Linked DNA regions of Xenopus tropicalis. The protein of the gene in region 2 binds, or shares a complex with, the protein of the main gene of each other region. Links are inferred from orthologs where the notes say so. Each region holds a gene or a part of one and is shown on either strand. Other genes may lie near its edges.

The links. Proteins that work in one complex are often made in the same cells at the same time.
Region 1: strip2 (region 2) and stk25 share a complex: the UniProt entries of both Homo sapiens proteins name them as parts of the core of STRIPAK complex. The link is inferred for Xenopus tropicalis from reciprocal best matches to the Homo sapiens genes STRIP2 and STK25.
Region 3: strip2 (region 2) and stk26 share a complex: the UniProt entries of both Homo sapiens proteins name them as parts of the core of STRIPAK complex. The link is inferred for Xenopus tropicalis from reciprocal best matches to the Homo sapiens genes STRIP2 and STK26.
Region 4: strip2 (region 2) and stk24 share a complex: the UniProt entries of both Homo sapiens proteins name them as parts of the core of STRIPAK complex. The link is inferred for Xenopus tropicalis from reciprocal best matches to the Homo sapiens genes STRIP2 and STK24.

What each region holds. Positions count from the first base shown.
Region 1 is NC_030681.2:125,804,943-125,808,442, reverse strand, and holds part of stk25 (serine/threonine-protein kinase 25), read right to left. Parts: intron 3,325-3,500; coding exon 3,179-3,324; intron 795-3,178; coding exon 692-794; intron 335-691; coding exon 263-334; intron 1-262. UniProt on the Homo sapiens protein: Oxidant stress-activated serine/threonine kinase that may play a role in the response to environmental stress.
Region 2 is NC_030679.2:87,158,367-87,161,866, forward strand, and holds part of strip2 (striatin-interacting protein 2), read right to left. Parts: intron 3,293-3,500; coding exon 3,186-3,292; intron 1,903-3,185; coding exon 1,775-1,902; intron 834-1,774; coding exon 654-833; intron 1-653. UniProt on the Homo sapiens protein: Plays a role in the regulation of cell morphology and cytoskeletal organization. Required in the control of cell shape. Calmodulin-binding scaffolding protein which is the center of the striatin-interacting phosphatase and kinase (STRIPAK) complexes.
Region 3 is NC_030684.2:67,443,749-67,447,248, forward strand, and holds part of stk26 (serine/threonine-protein kinase 26), read left to right. Parts: intron 1-3,056; coding exon 3,057-3,165; intron 3,166-3,244; coding exon 3,245-3,402; intron 3,403-3,500. UniProt on the Homo sapiens protein: Serine/threonine-protein kinase that acts as a mediator of cell growth. Modulates apoptosis. In association with STK24 negatively regulates Golgi reorientation in polarized cell migration upon RHO activation.
Region 4 is NC_030678.2:121,393,328-121,396,827, reverse strand, and holds part of stk24 (serine/threonine-protein kinase 24), read right to left. Parts: intron 1,682-3,500; coding exon 1,573-1,681; intron 1-1,572. UniProt on the Homo sapiens protein: Serine/threonine-protein kinase that acts on both serine and threonine residues and promotes apoptosis in response to stress stimuli and caspase activation.

The DNA.
Region 1 (3,500 bases), on a different chromosome or scaffold from region 2:
GATTCGCTCATTATGCACGTGTGTGCCAAACAATATGGCCATTCCCACCGGAAGCTCCCTCCTGATGCAGGCGGCCTAGTACTGGCAGGGGGTATTTTTTTAAAAATACTCTAACCGGAGTGCGGGCTCTATTACTCTGCATCTCTGGTGGGGGAAATAATGTTGGGGTGATGGATGCCCTTTAACCAACCTATCCCCCTTCCACCTCTCCCCACAAATCTAAACTGTGAAAACACAAAAAATATATTAAAAAAGTAGTCACCTCTTGGAAAACTGGTGTTACTAAGGCTGATAGACAGTGTGACCGTGGCAGGCGATGAATGACTTCTGCTGACTGCAGACAAACCAACATAATAAAAGTGTAAGCAAAGACATGGAATACTTGCGAGATTATATTTCTCTCTGTTTAGTATAGCTCTCATAGCCTTAGCAATACAATTTGCAATAAACTATAGTTTTCTCCTCTTTTAAGCTAAGTCACATGATCAGCAGGAAGTAACTGTGCACAAGCAGTAAAAAGGAAATGAGGCAGGTAGCTTATAAAACACAGGGCAGAGTATAGCAAGTGAATATCTGTGCCCTCTCCATGCTCATTCCTGAGTATCAGAAGTAAAGTGAAAGTGGCTGCTAGTAATTATAAGTGGCTGAACACAACCAGACACCTCTAATATGGATGTCATTACACTGATACCTTCTGACAGCCCCACTGCATTCGGCTCATGGACTTGGCACAGATGGTTTCTGGAAATGACCAGATGGGAATTTGGTTCTGATTCCGCTCATCTTCATTGTCCCTGAAACACACAGACATATGACTGAAGCTGAAAGCCCAACAGCCTAGCAAATTAAACTTTCTAACCTGGTTTCTCATCAGTGTTTTAAATACTACCAGGCCCGGATTTGTGGAGAGGCCACAAAGGCCCGGGCCTAGTGCAGCATTCCGCCCCGCTGCGTCAAAATCTTGAAATTTTGCTACCATACGAAGCAATGAGGAGCTCTCCCACTGCTCTGTATGCAAGTGTAGACTTCTGTGCATGTGAGCGTGTGCACTTGCGGGGGGAGGTGCTGCTGTTTGCACATGTGCACTTGCGGGGGGGGGCGAACAGGGGCGGCCTTGGGTGCCCGGATTAGAAATCCAGCAATGCATACTACCCTTATGCACGTGGCTCACTGAAGGTCTAGGAATATGTTGACCAGTCTTAGGCAGGCTATAAAATAATTTCAGCAGAATACTGAATTGGGCCATGGATGCAGGTCTCTGACACCCCATGAGAACCAGTCATGAGCCAAGGGGGTGATTGGATCAACCATATTTGGGCCACCTTTATGCCAGGGGTCCCCAACCTTTCTTACTCGTGAGCCACAGTCAAATGTAAAAAAGGTTGGAGAGCAACACAAGCATCATGAAAGTTCATGGAGGTGCCAAATAAGGGCTAAGATTGGCTATTAGGCAGCCTCTATGCACACTATCAGCTTACATGAGACTGGCAAATTGTGGGGCCTCCATTACTGTGCTCACAACTGCGTAATTGTAGCTTGCCAGAACCTTGAGACCAGGCAGTCCTCAATTCAATGCCCTCATGCTCTGTCAAACATGTAAGTAATCATTAGCTTAATGTAGTAGTAGCGAGACAGGTCACTGCAGGGTTAAACTGCGAAGGTGCACTTTGTTACACTACATTTCGTGCTTCACAAGCCCTTTATACTGTGCTCACAACTGTGCATCCCAGTGAAATCTTCAGCAAGTCACTATAAGGGCTCTGGCAGAGATTTACATTTTCGCCGGTGGGATGGCATTTCGGGGAGATTAGTCGCCCGCGAACAGGGAGATTTGTCGCGGGCGACTAATCTCCCCGTGTGCCAGAGCCCTAAAGCATGTGTTTGCCAATAAGAATAATACATGTATTAGCTCAGGTGCAGGCACCAGGATCATGCTGAGAATCAGCCTTGTGCTTATAGCTAGCAATTCCCAGATAAAGGCAACAGCGTCATTCCTGCCCCAGTCTTGTGGCTGATACAGTTTATTTACAGTACAGAAATTGGAACTAAAAGGTTCTCTAAACAGAATAACACCACGCAGAAATGACATAATGATAGCTTGGAAGTTTGTGTAAATATTGATTTTAATTTGGGTTTATATCATTTATCTTTCTTCAGATGTTTATTTGCCCCACTTTATCAAAAGGTTTTATACACAGTCTATCCAGTAACTGAGTACACTGGTCTTTTGTATCACGCTTATCAGAAATTGCATTTTGCTTACAGCATGAGGCTTCAATTTGTATTTGCTGTGACCAAACCACCCTACAGTCCATTACACTCGGCTTCTAAGGGTAAGAACCAAATCCAAAAAGGGCTTCCAGTGGCAACAATAGAAGTCGCTGGTGGAAAGCCCTTTGCATCACTTCGGTAATCCGAAGTCGCACAAAGTTTCCTCATGCAGGCAACTTCGCGTGACGGAAAAAGAAGCGATGCAAAGGGCTTTACACCGGCAATATCTATTGTTGCCACTGGAAAGCCTTTTCAGAGCAGTTACTCGCTTACGATAGCAGCAATCAATTGAGGGCGACTAACTTGTTCCTTCTGTGGGTTCCTACCCTAAGGGTGAAGACACACTGAGCTACTTAGTAGCAGCTACTTGTCACAGCTACTAAATGCCAGAAATACCCTGCCATAGACAATACTTAGAATTGCCTTTGGTAAAACACACGTAGAGACAGTTATCAATAGTAACTACTTGTTAGTAGCTGCTACACTCTGTGTCTCTTCACCCTAAGGGCTACAACACAAGGAGGTACCGTACTTGTACCCAGCTACAAGTAACTCCATGTGTCATTGCCTTAAAAAGCTGCACTTAATAATGGAAGCACAGGGACAGGTATAATGATAGGGTGTGTGCTTTTATAACCTAAAAAAAAGTTAATGGAAAAGGGGTGGGGGGGTTAAATAAAGGGTTCTTTCCTTTATGAAAAACTATTGTACTGCTCAAGTAATAATATAAAAAGTGATTTGAGTAGTTAGGGCCAACATGTAAGGCCCCTGAAATCTTGTATGTTGTCCACCAGTAAATGACTAGTTACCTACTTTCTGTTTCGGCGCCAGTGTCTTGGCTGCATGGTTTCCATAAATAATGCCAAAGGACTTTTCTGCTTCAGACAGATGCCATAAATATACTTACATGTCAGACTCATCTGAGCTAGAATCTTCTCGGTGGCCCTGGGATTTCCAGCGCTTGTGTCTTTCTACCAGTTCTACAAGGAAGGATGTTTTCTTAGTGTATCTTAGTATGAAGCGGTGCTTCAGCAGCTCACGTGCTGTAGGCCTCTAAGAGTGCAAATACTTGTGGTCAGAAAGCAAGGATGGCTGCAGCACCACAATCCACACAAACAGGCAGGCACCTTGTAAAGCTATTTGCATGAATTCCCATTTATGGAATGCCACAGGAATGATCTGCTGTGTGCCTTAGTGTAGTGCTACATGGGTGTGCTAAGTGTGCATGT
Region 2 (3,500 bases):
GTTTAAATAAATGGCTGACAAAGCCAGAACATTTATAAACATTAATGGAAAATCAGTAAGAAGGCAATAGTCACAAATGCTAGTCCATAGCACTTGCCCCTTTATTTTCACTATTAGCTCTAATAACCATAATCTGACATGGTAATTATACATGATACAATACAATATTGAAACCAGTTTATAAGATCAAGTGAATGGCAATAAATGGCTTAGAAAGAGGTTAATTCAAGGGGTTTTAAAAACCTGGTAAAAAATTATTCCATGAATCATATGCAGTGATCATTGGGTTGTTGAAGTGTTACAGGTATGTTCAAACAACCTTGTTGTTGACAGAAAAAAAAAAAAACAGAGCACTAAACTACCCAATAGGGTAAAATATCACATTTTATAGTATAATTAGCACAACTAATGTATATTTGGCAAAGCCAAGTTCAATCAGCTGTTTGAGACTGCACAACTGAAGTCCATGAGGGTTTAAAATGACTAAGGTAGTTGCTAAGCCTATGTTCTTGATGGGCTGTTATATTTCTAACACTCAGCCCTGATTAGTGAATAATGGCATATTCTGAGGCTGCAGAAGCAGAACATATTGCCAAGAAGATATGAAATCACTTTAAAAAAATGTATGAGCATATCAAGGAAAAAAGACTAACCCTGCGACTTCTGCGCCCACGTTTCTGCTGCTCTCCTAGCTCAATGCCATAAGTAGGAGGGGAGATAGCCTTCATGTTCTTCATCACCTGTATGCTGTCCTCCAGTAAGGGTGGCAAGCCAAGTTCTGATCTTTTTTTCTCCTTCATGCTCTGAAGCTCAGGGAAACCACCTAATGTAAACTTAATTGGAATAAAATGTTAGCAGGGTGGCATAAGCAGCACGGTTCTAAAGCAAAACTTTTGCACATACAGGGGGCAGTGGGGCTGCTGTAAGATGCCATAAGATACATGTAAGATGCTGTTTGGGTCTCTCTGTTGCTGATATGCCACCTATTTTGAATTCCATCCCAGTTATTGGGATGCATAAATTTGACATTCAAAATATATCCCATATATACCCATACATGAACATATTTAATATATAGTTTTTGTTTTCCCATATTAAGTGTTTGGTACTTGCTAATATTTAAAGGGCAATGTCAGACATAGTGCTTTGTAACCCACGGGAGATCACTCCTTCTAATCCATGAAAATAGGATTGAAACTAGCTTTCAGTCCAGAAGAATAAGAATTACCACATGTAAAATGCCTTCTTAAATGCCTTCTTCCACAGGTGATTTCCCATACGCAACAAATTTCTATGTCTGATACTGCACTTATGCAATATTTAAGATTATGTTAGGTTTTATGAGATAGTGCTTGATTCAGCTCAATAAGAAAACCAACACTGAAGTTTGTTAAGAAATCTGAAATTGAATTACAAGGTTTTTCTAATACAATGGTTGTCAAAGTGTTTCAGTTCAAGCCCCACTTGAAGGTTCAAACCTAGGCCATGGTCCCAGATAAGGGAAAATATTGATGTATCATTCATTCACCAATTCCTAGAATATGTAGGACAGCAAATGTGTTTGTACCCAAATCCTTTAAGCGGGGCTTTTAGGTGTCTCTAGGAAAGAATAGCTATTTTACGTAATTCTATAATATTTAACATTATAACATTTAAAATAGAAATATATTTCTCTGTTCACTCTTTTTTCTATGAGATGAGAGAACTGAGAAATAATATATGTAGCATAGGATTTCGTCATTAATACATTTAAATAAATTATTTGGGACCATACCAACAGAACTTTCCAGAGCAGCAAGAGAACTTTTTTCATGGGAAAGTGGGGACAATGACCACTGCAGAATTTGGTCACCATTGCAAAGAGGAGATGAGCAAATGGCTCCTCAGGATGCACAGGGAAGGCTACAAAGAAAGACAACGTGTATTATGAAATGCTCCATAAATACTATTTTCTATCATATATAATATTAATTTTAAAAATATTTGAAATTGTATCAAGAACCAATAAAAAAACATTAAGCACAATTCTCCACTGATTAGGAACATAAAATTGTATTTGGTCCAATATTTTGACACTACACAGGATAGAATAATCATGCAAACAGTAAATGTTATTTTATTTTTGAAGGATAATATTGCTAAACTATTTCTGTGTTGTGATAAAAGGCCATTAAACCTTAACAATCTGATCTGATTATTTAGGGCTATTTCACATGTGGCGTTTTCTCTAACAGGACAGAAAATGCTAATATGCTTTCTTATGCCCCTATATCACCATAAGCCCTAGGCACCGGACCTAAATACATCTCTGGAGAGAGGGAGACAGGAGAAACCTGAGCAGGCTCGTGCCTGTGACCTGAAGAATTTTTCTGAGAGAAGGAAGTCTAACACTAAAAGACATGTGTACACAGAAGAAGAAAAGAAAAACTCTGTTTCTTTTGACTGCAGTTTTTCTGTGGGTGCTTATGGCTGTATTTACATAGTCCTTTCTGATAAAGCTTTCCTTTTCTTTTAAAGTGTAGGGCCCAATTAAAACCTATTAAAACATACCAGTTTCCAGATGGTTGTTTAGTGCATGATCATCAATAGCCAAGTCACACTGATCCAGTCATTAATGCCATTAAAGGAGAAGGAAAGGCTAATAAAGAGTTAATCTCAAGATGCAGACATACCTTCAGTTCTCTCAGTGGTGCCCTTAAGTCTCCCCATATTTCTCCTGTTCAGATGATCAGAAGCCTCATAGGAAAAAAAAATGCTGAGCTCTGTAAAGAAAATTCCCATAATGCCAGGCTCCTGCACCAAGACCAAGACCCCTGTACATGCGCAGTTTGTAAGACTATGAGGAAGCTTCCTGCTGAATGGCCCTAAGGGGGGGGAGGGCGTTCTTAGCATTCTTGAGGGAGGGGGGAGCTGGAGAGAGCTGCACAGACTCTGGCACAGGAAAACAAAGAGAGAAGAAATCCTGTTTCTTTTAACAGTGGGCTCAGTGCAGCGTTTCTGTGAGCGCTTATGGCTGTATTTACATAGACCTTTCTGATAAAGCTTACTTAGTTTTTACCTTTCCTTCTCCTTTAACAGATTAAATGAAAGGGAAATATTTGTCCTAAGCCACCAATTATGTCACCACTTTAAGCAAAAACACTGATGAAGCCTGTTTTAGTGGTATCCATACAGTCTCTCCTCACCAAGTTCTTCACGGAAATTAGCACGTAGAATTTTCCATTCTGGGTCATCATTCTCTGATTCTTGACGAATATTTTCAACCATCAGATACATAACACTAAGTAGAACCCTGTATGGGGACAAAAAACAACTAAAAAATATCTAATCACCCCCAAATTTTAAGTTAAAAAATATTTCTTTATTATTGTATGTACAGGTATGGGATCCCTTATCCGGAAACCTGTTATCCAGAAAGTTCTGAATTATGGAAAGGCCATCTCCCATAGACTCCATTTAATTTTATAAAATTATTTTTCTCTATAATTATAAAACAGTAC
Region 3 (3,500 bases), on a different chromosome or scaffold from region 2:
CTATTAATCCTTAGGGCCCCTAAACTTTGCAGAGTTAGTCACTAGTTAACTGCAGTTCCAGGTTAGAAAAAGGGGGTGGAGCTACCAACCGCCAATCAGATGTTGTTGACTTTCAGTACGGAAATTTAGGTTGCTGCCATTCAGACACTATTAAAACCAGGGTCCCCAAACTTTGCACAGTGGTTTTTACTGTATAACTGTGGTCCAAGGTTAGAGAAAGTGGGCGGAGCCCATTCAGTGACTTCATGTTTTTCAACCCAACATGAAGTTTGTTCTCAAACTTCCCTTTCTAGTTTGTAGGCTGTGTTTTTGCTTTACAGTGATAAGCTCCATTTAAATGGTTTTTACTTTCATTAAGAAGTATACTGAATATCCCCTTATGAGACAATCCACTTCTCACTTTCCCAAGTGACACTTGCATATACTTCTGTGGGAAATACAGTCCACATATTTCACTTGAGTCAGATTGCCTGCCCATGGAGCCAAATGGGTGTGTAAGTGCATCAATCCCTGGGGTCCATAACAGCAGTATTCTGCATTTTTACAGACGAAAAGAGCAAAAGACTTGGGGACTTAAAATCGTAGTTCACATTTAAGTTAACTTTTAGTGTCTTATTAAATTTCTTATTATTGGCAACTTTTGAATTGGTCTTCAATTTGTTTGTTTGGTTTTTTTTTTTTGGATTATTTTCCTCCTTTCTCTTGCAAGCTGTCTGATTGGGAGCATTGTCCCTGGCAGCCAAAAACCCATTGCCCTGTGAGGATTCAATTTATTGTTACTGTTTATTACTGATCTCTTTATTCATCTTCCAGTCTGTCATTTAAACCATTGCCTGGCTGCAGTAGTAAATTAAAGACTAGCTTCCATTTCTAAATGGTGCTGTTGTACAAAAAACTACTACTCGTTCCAGCAACAAACTTCAGCAGTAAATCCGCTGACTCTTCAAGTACAACAAAAATATATACTATTTTAAACCTTTAAAAACGTAAAAAAAAATGTGTACTAACTTGTACAATGCAATATACACTGTGTGTTTTTATGTATAGTTACATAGGGTTGGAAAAAGACCAGAGTCCATCAAGTACAACCCTTCCAAGTAAACCCAGCTCACACACACACACACACACACACACCTGTACTGACCTATTTATACACTCGTAAATAAACCATATATACAAACATCAATACTAACCGTAGATTTTAGTATCAAAATAGCCTTGGGTATTATACTTCTTCAAGAACTCATCCAGGCCCCTCTTTAAAGGCATTAACAGAATCTGCCATTACCACATCACTTGGACGGACATTCCCCCAACCTCACTGCCTTCACCATGAAAAACATCTACACTGCTTCAAATGAAAATCCCATTCCTCTAATCTAAAGGGGTGGCCTCTGGTGCGCTGATTGCTATTATGGCAAAAAAGAACACCCCCTATCTGCCAGTAATCATGTCCCTTTGCAAACAACCCCAACCTTAACAGTCTAACCTCATAGCTTAAATCTTTTATCCCCTTTACTAGTTTAGTTTCATGTCTCTGCATTCGCTCCAGCTCATTAATATCCTGGAGCCCAAAACTGCACTACATGCTCAAGGTAAGGTCTTACCAGATAGATGCCTATAAATAAGGCAAAATTATGTTTTCATCCTTTGAATCAATGCCCTTTTTTATGCAAGTATTTTATTTGCTTTAGTAGCCACAGAATGACACTACCTGGAATTAGACAACGTATTATCTACAAAAATTCCCAGATCCTTCTCAATTAAGGATACCCCCAACACACTACCATTTAGTGTATAACTAGCGTTTATATTATTTCTACCAAAGTGCATAAGATGCTGCCAAAATTCTTATTCACACTCTTATTATATCTCACCTGGACTACTGTAACGCTCTGCTAATTGGCCTTCACCTTCAGAGACTGTCCCCTCTCCAGTCCATAATGAATACTGCTGCCAGGCTCATACACCTATCCAAACATTTCTCCTCTGCCATACCACTGCCAATCCCTGCACTGGCTTCCCCTACCATCAAGGATAAAATTCAAACTAATGACTAGGACATTCAAAGCAGTTCATAACTCTGCCCCACCCTACATCTCTGAACTTATCTCTAGATAACAACCAACCTGTTTGTTACTCTCCTCTACTGACCTACTTCTCAACTCCTCCCTCACACTTGCATTTAAGACTTTGCAAGGGCTGCCCCCCTTCTCTGGAATTCGCTCCCACAAACTATCAGACTTACTCCCGATCTCTAAAAACGCATTTATTTAGTGAAGCTTACCCTCATTTAGTTTAACATAACCTCAGTGTGCTGCTACAAGCAACCTGTGCCACACCTCTCCCATTGCTTGATTCTGATCTTGCCCATTCCCACACCTTGTGTTTCAAACCTCTCTCCTTGTAGATTGTAAGCTCTTTTGGGCAGGGCCCTCTTCACCTCTTGTATCCGTTATTGGTTGCTTTATATTTTACTTTGTATGTCAAATGTATGAAACCTACTTATTGTACAGCGCTGCAGAATATGTTGGCGCTTAATAAGTCAATGTTGATATTAATAACTTTGCACACAATATGAACAGCATATGGAACAGGAGTTTGAAATCAGTAAATCACATTTATAAAGGCAGCTGTGCTGGCAAGACACATTGGCAAACCTTATGTACAGTTGCCAGTAAGCCCAATCAGCACTTTGATCCATACAGGCAGAATAATCGTCTCCTTACATTTCAGGTGTGTTGTGTGAATGTGATGGGGAAGCTACAGTGCAAGCTCCACTGAAGCTGAGACTAATTGAAATGATGACCTCTTCAACACTATTTTTATAAATTGAAATAGCCTCATATCATAAGCCAAAACTGGAAAAAAAAAAAAATCAATATAGCAGGGGTGCTGTTCTGGAACTTGTATCCTGGCCCAAGGTTGTAATATGCAGAACATATACACCTTATAATGATTAGCTGCAATTATTTTAATATCAGGGTAAGTTTAACAAACAAACAATATGCATCTTAAGTGTTTTTTATTTCTGCATTGTAATTTTCAACCTTTAGCTTCGTGTTGGTCCTTTTGATGAGTTCCAGATTGCTACCATGCTTAAAGAAATATTAAAAGGCCTTGACTATCTGCACTCTGAGAATAAAATTCACAGGGACATCAAAGGTATGGGAATGTTTGATTTTCCAGTCTGTTGGTTCCCGGTTGTTCCAGTCTGTTCTAAGTAGTGTATTCTATCTTCCAGCTGCCAATGTACTCCTGTCTGAGCAGGGGGATGTCAAGCTCGCAGACTTTGGTGTCGCAGGGCAGCTTACAGACACACAAATAAAAAGAAACACCTTTGTAGGGACACCATTTTGGATGGCTCCAGAGGTCATACAGCAGTCTGCTTATGATTCCAAGGTAAGCTTACTATAAACTTAGGACCAGCTAAAACATTTTCCAAAAATGACGTATTATGGTGTTGATGTTGCACATGATGTGGATTTCAAATTATTGGA
Region 4 (3,500 bases), on a different chromosome or scaffold from region 2:
TCTGCCAAACACAACTGCAATTTATGGTAACAATACGGAAATGTGTAATACACTTATGCGTCTGAGTTAATGCTGCACTGCTTTGGGCACTTCCTTTGTATAGTTATGATTGCCATGATTTCTGATGATGAAAGAACAGGACAAATTTAGGGTTAAACACTCAGGCTTATTTATATATTCATAGATCTGTAAGTGTCCTGTACATAATTCTTAAATCAACCGTGCACAATATGAACAAATTCTTAAAGGTCTAGCAAGACTGTGTCAGTGTAGCAGCTGCATAATAATGCTCAGCAAAGTTTGTTTATGCAGAAGGCCAAGTTGCTGCAACAAACCTGCATGTAAAACCTAAGCTTTAAACACATCCTGACCAACAGACTTTCTGGCTGAATTTCAAAGGGTTCTGAAACACCTATGCAAGACAAAAAATTCTTTTTTTTAAAAATTAATTTTATTCTATATAGTTTTTACCATTTTATCAACAATGTGATGCCCCTCTGGATGAAGGGGTCGCCAACCTCTCACCCACCACCTGCACGCAAACATTGGCAGCAGGGAGTTAGGAGTATTCTCAGTTGAAAAGCAAGTTAATCGTTTCCGTACATGTGTGGCCTATTGTTAGCTGCAGCAGCCAACAGATTAATCTGCATAAGAAAGATGAGAGCTTGCGCATGTGCAGTACCACTCAAGGAAAAGCTTTTGTGCTCTCTCTTTTCCTCTGGCGGTCTCGCTGATCTCTAACTGGGTAAGCGCCTCATTTTAATTAATAAAGGAAGCATTTTAAAAAATTCATTATAATGGGTAAAGTTCTTCTTTTGCATTCCCAGCACTCTGATGGGGCTTTGTAAAAAGTGAACATCAGCACTGTCTTCATTTATTTATTATTTATGATTTTTTAAATACTTTTTTGTTCTACAAAAAAGCAATAAAAAAATAAAAACCATTAAAGAAATTTTTTGCTGCAAGCTGGATCTATGCAGAATAAAATCTTGTATCATTCGAAACACATACAAAATAAACAATCAAACCAACTGAACTCTTTTCAAACGTGCTTCAAATACTATGCAAATGAATCCCCAGTTCAGGCTCCATATAACATAAGACAATTTATCCATTTCATTTGCTAAGCAATTCTATTAATATGGCAGAATCAGCAAGTAAGTTAAAAGATTCACTCATTTGGCCAGGTCACCAAATGAATGGTTCTTTCCCCTGACGCAGTATGCCCATCCCGAGGGCCAATCGACCAGATCATAATGGCCATTATGCAGTCCAGATGCCAACAGATACCCTCAACCTGACGGAAAATCGAACCTGCCCAATTAACATCTACCCGATTTTTGATTGGGCAGGCCCTTCAAAAGGACCCACACGGGCTGAATGCCTGCCTACTCTGTCTGTCAACAGCTTTTGTCAGCCCATGTATGGCCATATTTCATTTGCAACACCTGCATGGAATGGTAAACCCTGCAGAAGGAATATAATCCCCATTCTTCTATTATTTTGATACAAAGAGGAATATGAAGACAGAGTTCCAACAACAGACAGAATAACGAAAAAGGAATGACCTACCTTTAATATCCCTGTGAATTTTCTTCTCTGAATGCAAGTAGTCAAGTCCCTTTAAGATTTCCCGTAAAATGGTTGCAATCTGTGTTTCATCTAAAGGACCAGGTTCTAACTGCCAGGAGGGAAGAGAAAATGTTGGTTAGGGTGATGGAACTTACTGAGGGATTGTTAGGGTAGTGCTTAAGGGTGATGGCACACGAGAAGATCTCGCCCATTGTTAGATCGCCGCAAGTGAAACCTAATTACTCACAGCAACCTGGCTTTTTCCCACATTTATTCCAGATCACAGAGCGGAATAGGTTTTACGTGCGATGATCTTAAAGTGGACCTGTCACCCAGACATAAAAAGCTGTATAATAAAAGTCCTGTTCAAATTAAACATGAAACCCAAATTCATTTTTATATTAACACATCCAAACCCATTATAAAGGCATTCAAAAATCCCAGCTGTCAATCATATATTGCTTGCCTCGCCTCTATGCCTTAGGCATAGAGGCGGGGCAGACAATAACTTTAGCTTTCCATTCAGCACTTCCTAGATGTCACTGCACATCTCACTTTCCCCCTCCCTCCTCCTCATCTAATTGTGTAGCCAGTGCATGGGCATGGGCATCAGGTCCCCCATTCTGGCACATAAACAAGATTTTGACATGATACAAAGTTTGCCTTCATAACAGTGTCCACAAAATCGTGCCTACCTGCTTGCTTTGATTGAGTAATTCCAAGACGGAAGGAAACAAGATTTATATTATTTATATAGCATAAGTAACATTTATTTTGCTCAAGTAACAAAAATAATTTGGAGTTATGTCTTGGGGTGACAGGTCCCCTTTAATGTTATGCTATAGAAGGTCTTTTATCGTAGACATGGCGTCTGCGGTAGCAAAGATTTAACTACAGACGACAAATCTCCATGTGTGCTATCACCTTTAAGCACTACCCTGTTCAGGAGTTCATATATACAGTTCACAAATACAAAGTGTAATTAAAAGGGGGGCTGTAGAGATATTATTGGGGGGTGAATAATTCACAAAACAGAAGTTGGTTTTAATCTGGAATACTAACCCACAGCTGAATGGGGAAGTGTGACAATCTTAGGGAAAGGTCACACAGGGCGGACTGTAAGCCTGCAGATAAGAACAAGCCGACAACCCATCCCTACACTTAGGGCTCTGGCATACGGGGGAGATTAGTCGCCCGCGATTAACTCCCTGTTCGCGGGCGACTAATCTCCCCGAGTTGCCTACCCCTGCCATCCCACCGGCGAACATGTAAGTCGCCGGCGGGATGGCAGACGCGGCGGCGGCGAGTCTTTTTCGGCGATTTCCGGAAATCGCCTCGCCGCGAACAGGGAGTTTTATCGCGGGCGACTAATCTCCCCCGTGTGCCAGAGCCCTTAAGGTGGCCATACACGCACCGATATTATCGTACGAAACCTCATTTCGTCCGATAATCGGTGCGTGTATGGCATGTCGGCGAGTCGACCGATATCGCAGGAAGCTGCTGATATCGGACAACTCACCGATCGGACCAGTTTGAAAATTTTGATCGGGCGCCGTAGAAGGCGCCTGACCAAATTTCTCCCTTCAGAGCTGAATCGGCAGAAGGAGGTAGAAATCCTATTGTTTCTACCTCCTTACCTGCCGATTCAGCCCTGAATGGTGTGTGGCGGATCTTACGATGTTTCGTGCGACCGATGGTCGTACGAAACATCGTCAGATCGCCACGTGTATGGCCACCTTTAGGGGCACATTTACTAATCCACGAAAGTCCAAAAAGCGTCCCAATGCAGTTTTTTCGTAAGGATCGGTATTTTGCGATTTTTTCGTAAATTGTCGTGACTTTTTCGTAGCGTTACGACTTGCGCGAATTGTCGCGACTTTTTCGTAGCCGTCGCGCCGAGGACGAAAGTTTCAGATTCATTCAAGCTT